4 linked regions of the Saccharomyces cerevisiae S288C genome follow. The protein of the gene in region 4 binds, or shares a complex with, the protein of the main gene of each other region. Each region holds a gene or a part of one and is shown on either strand. Other genes may lie near its edges. The genes, in order: TIM12, TIM54, TIM18 and TIM9. A codon is read from its position in the direction of its gene.

Region 1 (3,162 bases), on a different chromosome or scaffold from region 4:
CTAACGACACCTACGTCAGATACGTCATTAACGATGCTGTTGTTCCAATTGAAACCTGTTCCACTGGTCCAGGGTTCTCTTGTGAAATCAATGACTTCTACGACTATGCTGAAAAGAGAGTAGCCGGTACTGACTTCCTAAAGGTCTGTAACGTCAGCAGCGTCAGTAACTCTACTGAATTGACCTTCTACTGGGACTGGAACACTACTCATTACAACGCCAGTCTATTGAGACAATAGTTTTGTATAACTAAATAATATTGGAAACTAAATACGAATACCCAAATTTTTTATCTAAATTTTGCCGAAAGATTAAAATCTGCAGAGATATCCGAAACAGGTAAATGGATGTTTCAATCCCTGTAGTCAGTCAGGAACCCATATTATATTACAGTATTAGTCGCCGCTTAGGCACGCCTTTAATTAGCAAAATCAAACCTTAAGTGCATATGCCGTATAAGGGAAACTCAAAGAACTGGCATCGCAAAAATGAAAAAAAGGAAGAGTGAAAAAAAAAAAATTCAAAAGAAATTTACTAAATAATACCAGTTTGGGAAATAGTAAACAGCTTTGAGTAGTCCTATGCAACATATATAAGTGCTTAAATTTGCTGGATGGAAGTCAATTATGCCTTGATTATCATAAAAAAAATACTACAGTAAAGAAAGGGCCATTCCAAATTACCTATGTTTAAGTCTGTTGTTTATTCGGTTCTAGCCGCTGCTTTAGTTAATGCAGGTACAATTCCCCTCGGAGAGTTAGCCGATGTTGCCAAAATTGGCACTCAGGAAGACATATTCCCATTCCTGGGTGGTGCCGGGCCATACTTCTCTTTCCCTGGCGACTATGGTATTTCTCGTGACTTGCCTGAAGGTTGTGAAATGAAACAATTGCAAATGCTTGCCAGACATGGTGAAAGATACCCAACTTACAGTAAAGGTGCTACCATCATGAAAACATGGTATAAGTTGAGCAATTACACACGTCAATTCAACGGCTCATTGTCATTCTTGAACGATGATTACGAGTTTTTCATCCGTGATGACGATGATTTGGAAATGGAAACCACTTTTGCCAACTCAGACAATGTTTTGAATCCATACACTGGTGAGATGGATGCTAAGAGACATGCTCGTGAGTTTTTAGCGCAATATGGCTACATGTTCGAAAATCAAACCAGTTTCCCAATTTTCGCCGCTAGTTCTGAAAGGGTTCATGACACTGCTCAATATTTCATTGATGGTTTAGGTGACCAATTCAACATCTCCTTGCAGACTGTCAGTGAAGCCATGTCCGCCGGCGCAAACACTTTGAGTGCTGGTAATGCGTGCCCAGGATGGGATGAAGATGCTAACGATGACATTTTGGACAAATACGATACCACATACTTGGATGACATTGCCAAGAGATTAAACAAAGAAAACAAGGGTTTGAATTTGACCTCAAAGGACGCCAACACTTTGTTTGCATGGTGTGCATACGAATTGAACGCTAGAGGCTACAGTGATGTTTGTGATATCTTCACCGAAGATGAATTGGTACGTTACTCATACGGCCAGGACCTGGTATCGTTTTACCAGGATGGACCAGGTTATGATATGATCAGATCCGTCGGTGCCAACTTGTTTAACGCTACTTTGAAGTTGTTAAAGCAAAGTGAAACTCAAGACTTAAAAGTCTGGTTGAGTTTTACCCACGATACCGATATCCTAAACTATTTGACCACCGCTGGTATAATTGACGACAAAAACAACTTAACTGCCGAATACGTTCCATTCATGGGCAACACCTTCCATAAGTCCTGGTACGTTCCTCAAGGTGCTCGTGTCTACACCGAAAAATTCCAATGTTCTAACGACACCTACGTCAGATACGTCATTAACGATGCTGTCGTTCCAATTGAAACCTGTTCCACCGGCCCAGGGTTCTCTTGTGAAATCAATGATTTCTACGACTATGCTGAAAAGAGAGTAGCTGGTACTGACTTCCTAAAGGTCTGTAACGTCAGCAGTGTCAGTAACGTCACCGAATTGACCTTCTACTGGGACTGGAATACTACTCACTACAACGATACCCTATTAAAACAATAAATTGTATAAATAAATAATATTGCAAATATAAATAAATACCCATCGATTCTGATCTTCTTTTATGTACTAGTAGGGTAACGAGTTTGTAGATTAGCGGCAGAATGAAAAGAAAAAAGTTAACTAAAAAGTAAGAACAGCAAAGTTGATTGTAGTCTATATTGCTGAAATAGATATCGGAGCTCCCGTATAATATTAAAGTGCACCAAGAAAAGGATGTCGTTCTTTTTAAATAGTCTAAGGGGCAACCAGGAGGTCTCGCAAGAGAAGCTAGACGTTGCAGGAGTGCAATTCGATGCGATGTGCTCGACTTTCAACAATATTCTCAGTACGTGTCTTGAGAAATGTATTCCGCATGAGGGCTTTGGTGAGCCTGATCTAACGAAAGGTGAGCAATGCTGCATAGACAGATGTGTGGCAAAGATGCATTACAGCAATCGCCTCATTGGAGGATTTGTACAAACACGAGGTTTCGGGCCAGAGAATCAGCTACGACATTATTCGCGATTTGTGGCCAAAGAAATAGCTGATGATTCCAAAAAATAGCTGTAAATATGAGGACTGTCTGTGCTGTTTGTATATAATAGTAACCTGCATATATAGCATTATAAGCTGTGTAGACAATTTTAGAAGTACATTTATATGGTACCCGCACCTGGGTCACGTGCATTCCCCTCACCCGTTTTTTTAGGTGGTGTCTTTTTTGTTTTTTTTTTTAGGTGGCGCGGCAACTATAAAGTACAGCAAGTGAGGTTGAGGCAATACTGGGAGTTTACACTATGGGAGACAGCTCCTAACACCAAGCAGAAAAACGACTTTTTCGCAAAGTATGTAAGGCGCTGGGTGAGCCCAGCGGACGAGGATGGGCTTAATAAGAACGTACAGTTTAGCACAGCTAGAACAGGATACAGCTAAGGGCAACTCTGCTTTTCGGGAGAAGTTAAAGAGGGGTAGACAATGATGGTAATCTTATAAACCGGCTACAATGAAGGTTGTAGCAGCAAGGAAGATGATATTTTAATACGGTTCAGGTGAAATGAAATAGCCGCCCATAACGGCATGCTCAAGTTGTAAGT
Region 2 (4,382 bases), on a different chromosome or scaffold from region 4:
TGTGCTCGAACCATCGCAGCCGTTACCGGCATTATTGTGGTCGTGGTGGTTAATGTGTTTTCCAAACGGTACTTCATACAAAGAAGAAATATTGCATAAATCTTCCAAAATCTTCAAATCCATATCAGTATTTAAGATATGTTCGTGATAAGCATGATTTGTACCTTGCAAAGTGTTTGTAGGTTTTCGTAAAGATGAACATTTGGGTGGTAGTTGAGGTGGCTTTGACTCTAAATGCATATGCTTAGAACAAGGTTGATTATCAGTGCTCTCCTCACAAAATTTGCAGTATTTATGGAAAACGTCATCATTATTTGATGATTGATGATCTTGAACAAACTTGTGACCACTAGTCGCGCTCGTGCTAGCCGTGCATGGGGTGTCACAGGTCAAATCGCAATCAATCTCCGATAAGTGAGACATCAGCTGAGAAAAGCTATCTGGTACAGTATTATTGTGATTGTGAGAGTCGTGATTGGTACTATTACAGTACTGATCATGAAGGTTAAAATTTGGCATCAAGTGATCGTTCTTTACATCTGTGAATATTGCAACATCATTGCCGTTCTCAGATATGTCTTTCTTTGTCGGTTGATCAGATTCACCTTGTTTTATATTAGCCTCACTTTTGGGATGAGTTTCGTCACAACATATTTCCAAAATCTTGGGCGTACAATAACAATCATCGGATCCAGGTGGTGGGTTCGGTTTATTTTTCTTGGAAGAGGGCAGCAGTATCAGATCGTCGTTAAACCAAGAATCTTTTCTACGTGGTAGGTCGCTTTTAGAATTCTGTTGGGGACTTGTCGGATCAGAAGCTACCGAATGGAAATTGTTTGCAAAAGAATGATTATTAGAATTATACGTTGCAGTATCATTATATTTTGTTAATGACGGATTATTGTGATAATTCAAGAACTCGAAATGTTGGCAGTCGGTGTACTCCTTGCATTTCTCATTGACGTGGCAATCACCACCCATATCATGGCTAGCTCCAGATGCAAATGCGGAAGTAGCGGCATCAGCAACAGCTGCGGCTGCAGGTGTTGCCGAAGCACTACTGTCGTTCACAGGCGCGCTGTGGTGAAGGTGACCATGGATATAGGTCAGGTTGTTGTAGTTATGGATGTGCCCGTGGACAATGCCTTCTTTACCTATCGTCAGAGCATCAGGCTTGGCAGAAGCAGCAGTGGCCGCACTCGTGGCCATCGAGTCATCGCGCTTGGGGGAGTCCCTGGGAGTCAACGCATCCATTAGTTCCTATCCTTCTTCTATTTAAAAAACCGTAACACATAAAAAGTAAAAGTGTAATGCTTCCGTCTCGCCGCTGGCCTATATTCACAGTGACTGCAGTTGCATCTTATATTGCCAAGCACGTTTCATCATGACCTTTAGGGTAGATGACTGCTGTCAACTACTCCGTCTGCAGTGATATATAATCATGTTTTGGGCGTTTAAGGAAGGAGAATTATTTCCAACAGTTGAATAGGAAGATCCCTAGAGTAAATCGCAGGCAATCCAGTACTAAGAAACGGCGATGACAATGGAAAAAAATGGAGGTAATAGCAGCCGTGGTGGCCAAGTAGGCGGCAAGTCTGTGTGTGTTTACTGCGGGTCTTCATTTGGCGCTAAGGCGCTATACTCAGAAAGTGCAGAAGAATTAGGAGCCCTTTTCCATAAGCTGGGATGGAAATTGGTATACGGTGGAGGCACTACTGGTTTGATGGGCAAGATAGCAAGGTCTACGATGGGACCTGATTTAAGCGGACAGGTTCACGGTATCATTCCAAATGCACTTGTGTCTAAGGAAAGGACAGACGAGGATAAAGAAGATGTTAATAAAGCATTGTTGGAGTCTGTAGAAAATCATAAGGGCGCCACTCCTATTTCTGAAGAGTATGGGGAAACAACGATTGTACCAGATATGCATACGAGAAAAAGAATGATGGCAAATTTGAGTGACGCGTTTGTTGCTATGCCTGGTGGATACGGGACTTTTGAAGAAATCATGGAATGTATCACGTGGTCGCAACTGGGGATTCATAATAAACCAATTATCTTGTTCAATATCGATGGGTTCTATGACAAATTATTGGAGTTCCTCAAACACTCTATTCAAGAACGGTTCATCAGTGTGAAGAATGGTGAAATCATTCAAGTTGCCTCCACTCCGCAGGAAGTTGTTGATAAAATAGAGAAGTACGTCGTTCCAGAGGGCCGTTTCAATTTGAATTGGAGCGACGAAGGTCACGCTCACGAGGATTGTGCTAAATAATAGAAACGTAAGTCATGTATCTAGTTTAAACGATCTGTATAGATAATGTGGTGAAAAATCCAAATTTTTAGGAGCTGTCTTTCTAAGCCCGAAGGCTGGAAAAAATAGTACTGATGGCAAAGACATCATAGCTTTAAAGTCCATTGTTCTCAAAAGAAGCTCAATAGACCATGTCTTCTGAATCAGGAAAGCCTATTGCTAAGCCTATTAGGAAGCCTGGCTATACCAATCCGGCTTTAAAAGCCCTTGGTATACCCGCCTTGAGGCTGCCTTCTCGAAACTGGATGATCTTTTGGTCTGTGTTAACAGTATCCATCGGTGGCATAGCCTATGACAAATACAAGCAACGTCAGATTCTGAGCCATGCAACAGACTTGGTGAAGCCTTTGGCAGAGGAGTCCATGGAGGTAGACAAAGTGCCACGAAAGATCACTGTTTTTATTGCACCTCCTCCAAATGATTATCTGGAGAGTTCGTTGAAAGTTTGGAGACGATATGTTAAGCCTGTACTGTATTATGCAGGGTTGGACTATGAATTAGTTCAAGAGGATAGGCAAGGGATTATTAGAACTAATGTAGCCAACAGAATCAGAGAATTGAGAAAGGAAATATTGGCATCGACGGATGGGCAGCCAGTTAAAGAGCCTAACCAAACGGTAGCAAAACCAAGTGGTTCTTCAACCAGTAAAATTTCATCACTACTACCGTTCAATAAAATCATTCAAGATCCTGCTGAAGAAGATGACTCGTTTGATCCAGAAATCGGTAAAAAGTTCAAGGAGAACTTCGACTGGAGAAACGTTATAGGTATCTTCTATACAATGCCAAAACCGAAGCATATAATAAGTGAAGACGCCCTGACAAAGGACCCTATATTATCTGGTGGTGTTATTTGTTTAGGTAGAGGCGCCTATAAGGAGTACATTGCCGGTATTCACGAAGGCTTGCTTGGACCCATCGAGAAGACCGAAAAAACAGGATCCACTGAGCCTAAGATGACTGGGGTTGTAGAAGCAAATCAAATAGAATCAAAGGTAAGTGAATCCGGTGCTACGGAACTGGTGGATGCCGAGAAAGAGACTGCTTTGGAAGAGGCCAAAGTACAAGATGATCTAAAGGTTGATGAAGAAAACAGCTCAGAGGATTCGCAAAAATTTTTGAAGCCATTTATTTCTTCAGACCAATACCCTGACCTGCAAATCGCTTCGGAATTACAAACTCCAAATGGCGAATTCATAAGAAACCCCAATACAAATATCCCGCTTCTGATTAATCAGCCGTTATTGGTCATTCCAATACCTAACTTGATAGGTTTTACTACCATTCCAAGGAGAATACATCGTTTTTACCAGAAGCGTTTCTACGTAGAGGACGTGTGTTCAAGTGTAGTTAACTGTGTTCGACAAACCCGTATAAGACCGTTTGATATTGCAAAGGATATTGATTTGGCGAAGGACGAAGAAAAAGATTGGCCACAGAACTGGGTCAAACAGGGTAAAGAAAAGAACAGCGAATGGACCCAAGAATTAGTATGTGATCCTAGAATCACGAAGCATATGTTTGTTTACGAAAAACCACCCAAGGAAGAGCCAGAATCAGATATTTAATTGGATATATATTATGTTTTATCATCATGCACGATCGACGTTATGTCTGACATATACCAAACCCTTTTCGAAGATTTCCCTTTACTCATGTTGAAATAGTTTTTATATATGCACACATATACATATATATAAAATCTGTAAATATAATAAAATGTGTACATTGTAAAAGAATCCAAGCACAACTATTATTAGCATTATGAGTATTTTTTTCAAGCCGCCGATTGATATTGAGATCCTTTTCGATAATGAGGAATCTCGCAAACACGTAGACATTGCAACAAGATCAAGTAATTCCAGTTACAAATCAATGAAGGAAAGCTTGCCCGTCTATGAAGATGGCGAATCCCTTGGTGGAATTGTTACTTTGAGAGTTCGGGATAGTAAAAAGGTAGACCACTTGGGCATAAAAGTGTCCGTTATTGGATCCATTGATATGTTAAAATCTCATGGGAGCGGTAATTCATCTTCTAAAAAAGTTACCTCTAGCACATCATCTTCCT
Region 3 (3,226 bases), on a different chromosome or scaffold from region 4:
CCAGCTTTTTATGATAAAAGTGTCTCCGAATTGAAGGATGAAGTTCAGCGATTGATTCCCCTATATGAAGAGTATTTGAGATGGTTTTATCTGAAGAAAACTCCGATTACTTTTACGAATAAATCCGCTGGAACAATATCTCGAAAAAAGTCGCTAGTAGCTAACATTGTAAAAGAGCCTAAGGAACAACTGGAACGTGATGCAGAAGTAATGAATATTATATTGAGAATATTGATCGCGAAAGGCCAACATGATTACGTTCATCGAATTTTACATGACAGAAAAGAACTTGTTAATACTATGAAAAATAGAAGAGCGGTGAGTAGAGCGGTCACTCCTACAGGAAAAAAGGGCAGAAACTGAAGTCTCTTTTATATATATACATGGGGTGCTGACTAAACAGTTCCACCCTATATTTGAGCGTCGATAAAAAATGAATGAACGTGTATCATCGTTTATTATAAGAATCATAGTTTTATGGACAAGTTTTCCGTTTAGCATTTATACCCATATAGTAAAAAGTTTCGCAGATAGTGCGATAGTTGTATTCTGATTGCCTTATTATTATTTCACTAATTCTTTATTCACGTAGAGCATGACACTTTTTTTATGTGTTTCCTTTTGATTGTGAAATAAAGGCGAATCCTAACAAATATTAAAATGTTTCAATACATTGATAAAAATTGTAAACATTATTTTTTTGTAGTATAAAAATTCGTTCCTCATCATTAAAGAAACAAAAAGCATACAGATAATAATAAAAAAGGCACTTTAGACAGAATGAGAATACTAGCAATCACGAATTCCTACTTTTCCTTTCTGTATCCCTAGGCGTTTCACTCGACAAGAATTGATCGTCTTGTACCAATCCAAGCAGATCGATATATACATATATATCTGGATTTCGAGAAGAAGGATATATTTTATTGCTTATTTGTCTTTTTATAAAATCTCTCCTAAGTTAAGTTCATGGGGAATCTGACTCTAAAAATGAAATCTTAGAAATGCAAAAAAAAAGAAAAAGTATGGGTGAGTCAGTTTCTTCCAAATATATACAAATGGTCATCATTTTCATTCCAAAGTTTCTTTACCAGGTCAACAAAACCATTATTTTTCGTTTCCAATTCGTAGATACCGTACAGGGACAACATGGATCCTCCATAGAGGCAATAAAGGGCGAGCTTATGCCATCTTGGATACTTTTCCTTCGGTATATAGTCAATAATACAACTTGTGAAGCCATACTGTAAATATATCAAAAAAATGGACGATAAAGACGCATCGAGTAAAGGATTTATAACCCCGCCGGTAAAGGAGGCATAAAAAGGTACCATTGTTAATGGAATCAAAGTATATTTTGCTATTCTCTCATAGTCTTTTTGATAAGAGTCCTTAAATTGAGAGAACTCTGGGGGCTTAAACATCTGCACTGAAGAGGATGCCTCTTTTGACGTATTTGCAATATCGTTTATTTTATTTTCAGCATTTAAACGATTAATGCTATAAAAGGATCTTTTGGTTGAAAGTACTAATCCTGGAAAAACAGCTCGTACAGGATTTACAATGACAGTGGAAGCATTAAGAACAGGCTTCAAGCCAGGAAACAATAGCATTACCAAAGGTATTAAATTACTCAGTTGTTGCACCTCGCATCACCGTTAATTAATGTGTGCATTCCACTGTCTGGAAGTTTTCATTTTTATCCGATCTTTTGCGAGAATGGTTTGTTTTTCAAAAAAACCGAGTGTCAACAAGGCATGTAGCGACACAAAATGAAAAATTGAAAGTTAACAGGGCAAGATATGCACCATAATAGATTCATTGTTAATCTTAATCAAATAAAATTTCTCTTTTCCACACAGAAAACTAAACGAAAGGTATAACTTTAAGATGGGTTTTGTTGATTTCTTCGAAACATATATGGTCGGTTCTAGGGTCCAGTTCAAACAGTTAGATATTTCTGATTGGTTGAGTCTGACCCCAAGGTTGCTTATTCTTTTTGGCTATTTTTACCTTCATTCTTTTTTTACTGCAATCAATCAATTCCTACAGTTCATTAACACGAATTCCTTCTGTCTTAGACTGCATTTACTATATGACAGATTTTGGTCGCATGTGCCCATAATAGGTGAGTACAAAATTCGGCTGCTCTCGAGGGCACTGACATATAGTAAACTGAAAATAATACCAACTTTAGACAAGGTGCTGGAGGCGATTGAAATTTGGTTTCAGCTACATTTAGTTGAAATGACCTTCGAAAAAAAAAAAAACGTCCAAATTTTCATAACCGAGGGAAGTGATGACCTAAACTTTTTTAAAGATAGCAAATTCCAAACCACATTAATGATATGTAATCATCGATCAGTGAATGACTACACATTGATTAATTACCTTTTTCTCAAAAGTTGTCCCACCAAGTTTTATACTAAATGGGAATTTCTACAAAAGCTGAGGAAGGGGGAAGATCTAGCTGAATGGCCTCAGTTAAAATTTCTTGGTTGGGGAAAAATGTTTAACTTTCCTCGATTGGATCTACTAAAGAACATATTCTTCAAAGATGAAACACTCGCACTCTCATCGAATGAGTTAAGAGATATTTTAGAAAGACAAAACAATCAAGCTATTACTATTTTTCCCGAAGTCAATATCATGAGTTTGGAACTATCAATTATTCAAAGAAAATTACACCAAGATTTTCCCTTTGTTATAAACTTCTATAATTTATTATACCCAAGATTTAAAAACTTTACCACTTTGATGGCTGCTTTTTCATCAATTAAAAACATCAAAAGAAAGAAAAACCGTAACAATATAATCAAAGAGGCCCGATACCTGTTTCACAGAGAACTTGACAAATTAGTTCACAAGAGCATGAAAATGGAGTCTTCCAAGGTATCCGATAAGACGACGCCGCCCATGATCGTAGATAATTCATACTTACTTACAAAAAAGGAAGAAATCAGCAGCGGCAAGCCCAAGGTGGTACGAATCAATCCATACATATATGATGTCACCATAATTTATTACCGAGTCAAATATACTGATAGTGGGCATGATCATACCAACGGAGATTTGAGACTTCATAAAGGTTATCAATTAGAGCAAATATCTCCGACAATCTTTGAGATGATTCAACCAGAAATGGAGTCTGAAAACAACATAAAGGATAAGGACCCCATTGTTGTGATGGTAAATGTAAAAAAGCATCAAATTCAACCATTACTCG
Region 4 (3,029 bases):
ATATTGGTCATAAAAATCAATCAATCATCGTGTGTTTTATATGTCTCTTATCTAAGTATAAGAATATCCATAGTTAATATTCACTTACGCTACCTTTTAACCTGTAATCATTGTCAACAGGATATGTTAACGACCCACATTGATAAACGCTAGTATTTCTTTTTCCTCTTCTTATTGGCCGGCTGTCTCTATACTCCCCTATAGTCTGTTTCTTTTCGTTTCGATTGTTTTACGTTTGAGGCCTCGTGGCGCACATGGTACGCTGTGGTGCTCGCGGCTGGGAACGAAACTCTGGGAGCTGCGATTGGCAGTGGAACAGTGGTAATTCCTACGATTAAGAAACCTGTTTACAGAAGGATCCCCACCTATGGGCGGGTTATCAGATATTATCAGGTGGGAAATTCGGTGGAACACAGTGGAGCCTTGTCCTCCGGGTTAATGTCGCTTTTGGCATTGGCCCCTGCTCCTGAGAGAAGAAATATACTGGGGAACCAGTCTTTACCGACCGTTGTTATCAGAAATTCACGGAGTTCGGCCTAGGTCGGACTCCGATGGGAACGGCAACGGTTGTTCCGTTTGACTTGTCGCCCGCTACGGCGTGAGCGTCAAGGTCTGTTGAGTGCAATCGTAGGACGTCATTAGTGGCGAACCCGATACCGATTACTGCTGCTGTTCCAGCCCATATCCAACTTCCAATTTAATCTTTCTTTTTTAATTTTCACTTATTTGCGATACAGAAAGAAAAAAGCGATAGTAACTATTGAATTTTGTTTGGATTTGGTTAGATTAGATATGGTTTCTCTTTATATTTACATGCTAAAAATGGGCTACACCAGAGATACATAATTAGATATATATACGCCAGTACACCTTATCGGCCCAAGCCTTGTCCCAAGGCAGCGTTTTGTTCTTGGAAACGCTGCCCTACACGTTCGCTATGCTTCAAGAACTTTTCTGAGCACTTCATGATGCATGTTTGTTCCTTATTGGTTAGCTTTGATGTTGTGAAGTCATTGACACAGTCTGTGAAACATCTTTCTACCAGATTAGAGTACAAACGCATGAAATCCTTCATTTGCTTTTGTTCCACTACTTTTTGGAACTCTTGTTGTTCTTTGGAGTTCAATGCGTCCATCTTTACAGTCCTGTCTTATTGTTCTTGATTTGTGCCCCGTAAAATACTGTTACTTGGTTCTGGCGAGGTATTGGATAGTTCCTTTTTATAAAGGCCATGAAGCTTTTTCTTTCCAATTTTTTTTTTTTCGTCATTATAGAAATCATTACGACCGAGATTCCCGGGTAATAACTGATATAATTAAATTGAAGCTCTAATTTGTGAGTTTAGTATACATGCATTTACTTATAATACAGTTTTTTAGTTTTGCTGGCCGCATCTTCTCAAATATGCTTCCCAGCCTGCTTTTCTGTAACGTTCACCCTCTACCTTAGCATCCCTTCCCTTTGCAAATAGTCCTCTTCCAACAATAATAATGTCAGATCCTGTAGAGACCACATCATCCACGGTTCTATACTGTTGACCCAATGCGTCTCCCTTGTCATCTAAACCCACACCGGGTGTCATAATCAACCAATCGTAACCTTCATCTCTTCCACCCATGTCTCTTTGAGCAATAAAGCCGATAACAAAATCTTTGTCGCTCTTCGCAATGTCAACAGTACCCTTAGTATATTCTCCAGTAGCTAGGGAGCCCTTGCATGACAATTCTGCTAACATCAAAAGGCCTCTAGGTTCCTTTGTTACTTCTTCCGCCGCCTGCTTCAAACCGCTAACAATACCTGGGCCCACCACACCGTGTGCATTCGTAATGTCTGCCCATTCTGCTATTCTGTATACACCCGCAGAGTACTGCAATTTGACTGTATTACCAATGTCAGCAAATTTTCTGTCTTCGAAGAGTAAAAAATTGTACTTGGCGGATAATGCCTTTAGCGGCTTAACTGTGCCCTCCATGGAAAAATCAGTCAAGATATCCACATGTGTTTTTAGTAAACAAATTTTGGGACCTAATGCTTCAACTAACTCCAGTAATTCCTTGGTGGTACGAACATCCAATGAAGCACACAAGTTTGTTTGCTTTTCGTGCATGATATTAAATAGCTTGGCAGCAACAGGACTAGGATGAGTAGCAGCACGTTCCTTATATGTAGCTTTCGACATGATTTATCTTCGTTTCCTGCAGGTTTTTGTTCTGTGCAGTTGGGTTAAGAATACTGGGCAATTTCATGTTTCTTCAACACCACATATGCGTATATATACCAATCTAAGTCTGTGCTCCTTCCTTCGTTCTTCCTTCTGCTCGGAGATTACCGAATCAAAAAAATTTCAAAGAAACCGGAATCAAAAAAAAGAACAAAAAAAAAAAAGATGAATTGAAAAGCTTTATGGACCCTGAAACCACAGCCACATTAACCTTCTTTGATGGTCAAAACTTATCCTTCACCATAAATATGCCTCGCAAAAAAGGTAATTAACATATATAGAATTACATTATTTATGAAATATCATCACTATCTCTTAGCATCTTTAATCCTTTTCTACATCAGATAACTTCGGTTTGTTATCATCGTCTGTATTGTCATCAATTGGCGCAGTAGCCTCAATTTCAACGTCGTTTGACTCTGGTGTTTGTTCATGTGCAGATCCATGAGATGATGAACCGTTGCCCTTCTCAATACTCTTCTTATCAAGTATTAATTGCTGTAGCTTTTTTTCAATATCTGAGTCCTCTACAAATTTATTGAAAATACTCAAAATTTTCAAAAACGTTTCGTTGCTTGTCTTCCCTAGTTTCAAATAATGCAAATAAACATTTGAAATTATTGTTAATATGGATGAAATGAGGATTTTCTGGTCTTCCTGTGTTTCACTCGAATTTAGCAACGGTAGTAATCCGCCCTCAATTAATTCTTCTACCGATTCCATCTCATTAGTTGGAATTTCGATTTTATTGATGAGCGTCTGCTCTAGCGTTACCACTGCAAATTCACTTATCTGCTTACACGGATTG

Evidence for each region.
Region 1: the proteins of TIM9 (region 4) and TIM12 are in contact, whole or in part, in a cryo-EM structure (PDB 6LO8), measured with the Saccharomyces cerevisiae proteins. Residues at the interface, in NP_010894.1 of Saccharomyces cerevisiae: Gln13 (codon at 1,099), Val16 (codon at 1,090), Lys19 (codon at 1,081), Gln20 (codon at 1,078), Lys22 (codon at 1,072), Asp23 (codon at 1,069), Phe24 (codon at 1,066), Met25 (codon at 1,063), Leu27 (codon at 1,057), Tyr28 (codon at 1,054), Ser29 (codon at 1,051), Leu31 (codon at 1,045), Val32 (codon at 1,042), Glu33 (codon at 1,039), Cys35 (codon at 1,033), Phe36 (codon at 1,030), Thr37 (codon at 1,027), Val40 (codon at 1,018), Asn41 (codon at 1,015), Asp42 (codon at 1,012), Phe43 (codon at 1,009), Thr44 (codon at 1,006), Thr45 (codon at 1,003), Ser46 (codon at 1,000), Lys47 (codon at 997), Leu48 (codon at 994), Glu52 (codon at 982), Gln53 (codon at 979), Ile56 (codon at 970), Met57 (codon at 967); in NP_009649.1 of Saccharomyces cerevisiae: Asp27 (codon at 2,381), Ala28 (codon at 2,384), Ser31 (codon at 2,393), Asn35 (codon at 2,405), Thr39 (codon at 2,417), Glu42 (codon at 2,426), Lys43 (codon at 2,429), Cys62 (codon at 2,486), Arg65 (codon at 2,495), Cys66 (codon at 2,498), Ala68 (codon at 2,504), Lys69 (codon at 2,507), Met70 (codon at 2,510), Tyr72 (codon at 2,516), Ser73 (codon at 2,519), Asn74 (codon at 2,522), Leu76 (codon at 2,528), Ile77 (codon at 2,531), Gly78 (codon at 2,534), Phe80 (codon at 2,540), Val81 (codon at 2,543), Arg84 (codon at 2,552), Phe86 (codon at 2,558), Gly87 (codon at 2,561), Pro88 (codon at 2,564), Gln91 (codon at 2,573), Leu92 (codon at 2,576), Arg93 (codon at 2,579), His94 (codon at 2,582), Tyr95 (codon at 2,585).
Region 2: the proteins of TIM9 (region 4) and TIM54 are in contact, whole or in part, in a cryo-EM structure (PDB 6LO8), measured with the Saccharomyces cerevisiae proteins. Residues at the interface, in NP_010894.1 of Saccharomyces cerevisiae: Lys65 (codon at 943), Glu68 (codon at 934), Arg69 (codon at 931), Gln72 (codon at 922), Arg73 (codon at 919); in NP_012481.3 of Saccharomyces cerevisiae: Glu76 (codon at 2,671), Met78 (codon at 2,677), Glu79 (codon at 2,680), Val80 (codon at 2,683), Lys82 (codon at 2,689).
Region 3: the proteins of TIM9 (region 4) and TIM18 are in contact, whole or in part, in a cryo-EM structure (PDB 6LO8), measured with the Saccharomyces cerevisiae proteins. Residues at the interface, in NP_010894.1 of Saccharomyces cerevisiae: Asp42 (codon at 1,012), Thr44 (codon at 1,006), Thr45 (codon at 1,003), Ser46 (codon at 1,000), Lys47 (codon at 997), Leu48 (codon at 994), Thr49 (codon at 991), Asn50 (codon at 988), Lys51 (codon at 985); in NP_014940.4 of Saccharomyces cerevisiae: Val105 (codon at 1,301), Asn107 (codon at 1,295), Pro108 (codon at 1,292), Glu165 (codon at 1,121), Thr166 (codon at 1,118), Lys167 (codon at 1,115), Asn168 (codon at 1,112), Asn169 (codon at 1,109), Lys177 (codon at 1,085).

Annotation. Positions count from the first base shown.
Region 1 is NC_001134.8:426,625-429,786, reverse strand, and holds TIM12 (Tim12p), read left to right. Parts: upstream 1-2,302; coding exon 2,303-2,632; downstream 2,633-3,162. Other genes in the region: acid phosphatase PHO5, read left to right, coding at 1-239; acid phosphatase PHO3, read left to right, coding at 686-2,089; YBR090C (uncharacterized protein), read left to right, coding at 2,729-2,913. UniProt on the Saccharomyces cerevisiae protein: Essential component of the TIM22 complex, a complex that mediates the import and insertion of multi-pass transmembrane proteins into the mitochondrial inner membrane.
Region 2 is NC_001142.9:331,820-336,201, forward strand, and holds TIM54 (Tim22-complex subunit TIM54), read left to right. Parts: upstream 1-2,445; coding exon 2,446-3,882; downstream 3,883-4,382. Other genes in the region: ZAP1 (Zap1p), read right to left, coding at 1-1,254; LOG1 (Log1p), read left to right, coding at 1,538-2,275; retromer subunit PEP8, read left to right, coding at 4,079-4,382. UniProt on the Saccharomyces cerevisiae protein: Essential component of the TIM22 complex, a complex that mediates the import and insertion of multi-pass transmembrane proteins into the mitochondrial inner membrane.
Region 3 is NC_001147.6:873,709-876,934, forward strand, and holds TIM18 (Tim18p), read right to left. Parts: upstream 1,614-3,226; coding exon 1,035-1,613; downstream 1-1,034. Other genes in the region: YOR296W (uncharacterized protein), read left to right, coding at 1-363; MUM3 (Mum3p), read left to right, coding at 1,891-3,226. UniProt on the Saccharomyces cerevisiae protein: Component of the TIM22 complex, a complex that mediates the import and insertion of multi-pass transmembrane proteins into the mitochondrial inner membrane.
Region 4 is NC_001137.3:115,317-118,345, reverse strand, and holds TIM9 (protein transporter TIM9), read right to left. Parts: upstream 1,136-3,029; coding exon 872-1,135; downstream 1-871. Other genes in the region: URA3 (orotidine-5'-phosphate decarboxylase), read right to left, coding at 1,376-2,179; Arf family guanine nucleotide exchange factor GEA2, read right to left, coding at 2,546-3,029. UniProt on the Saccharomyces cerevisiae protein: Mitochondrial intermembrane chaperone that participates in the import and insertion of multi-pass transmembrane proteins into the mitochondrial inner membrane.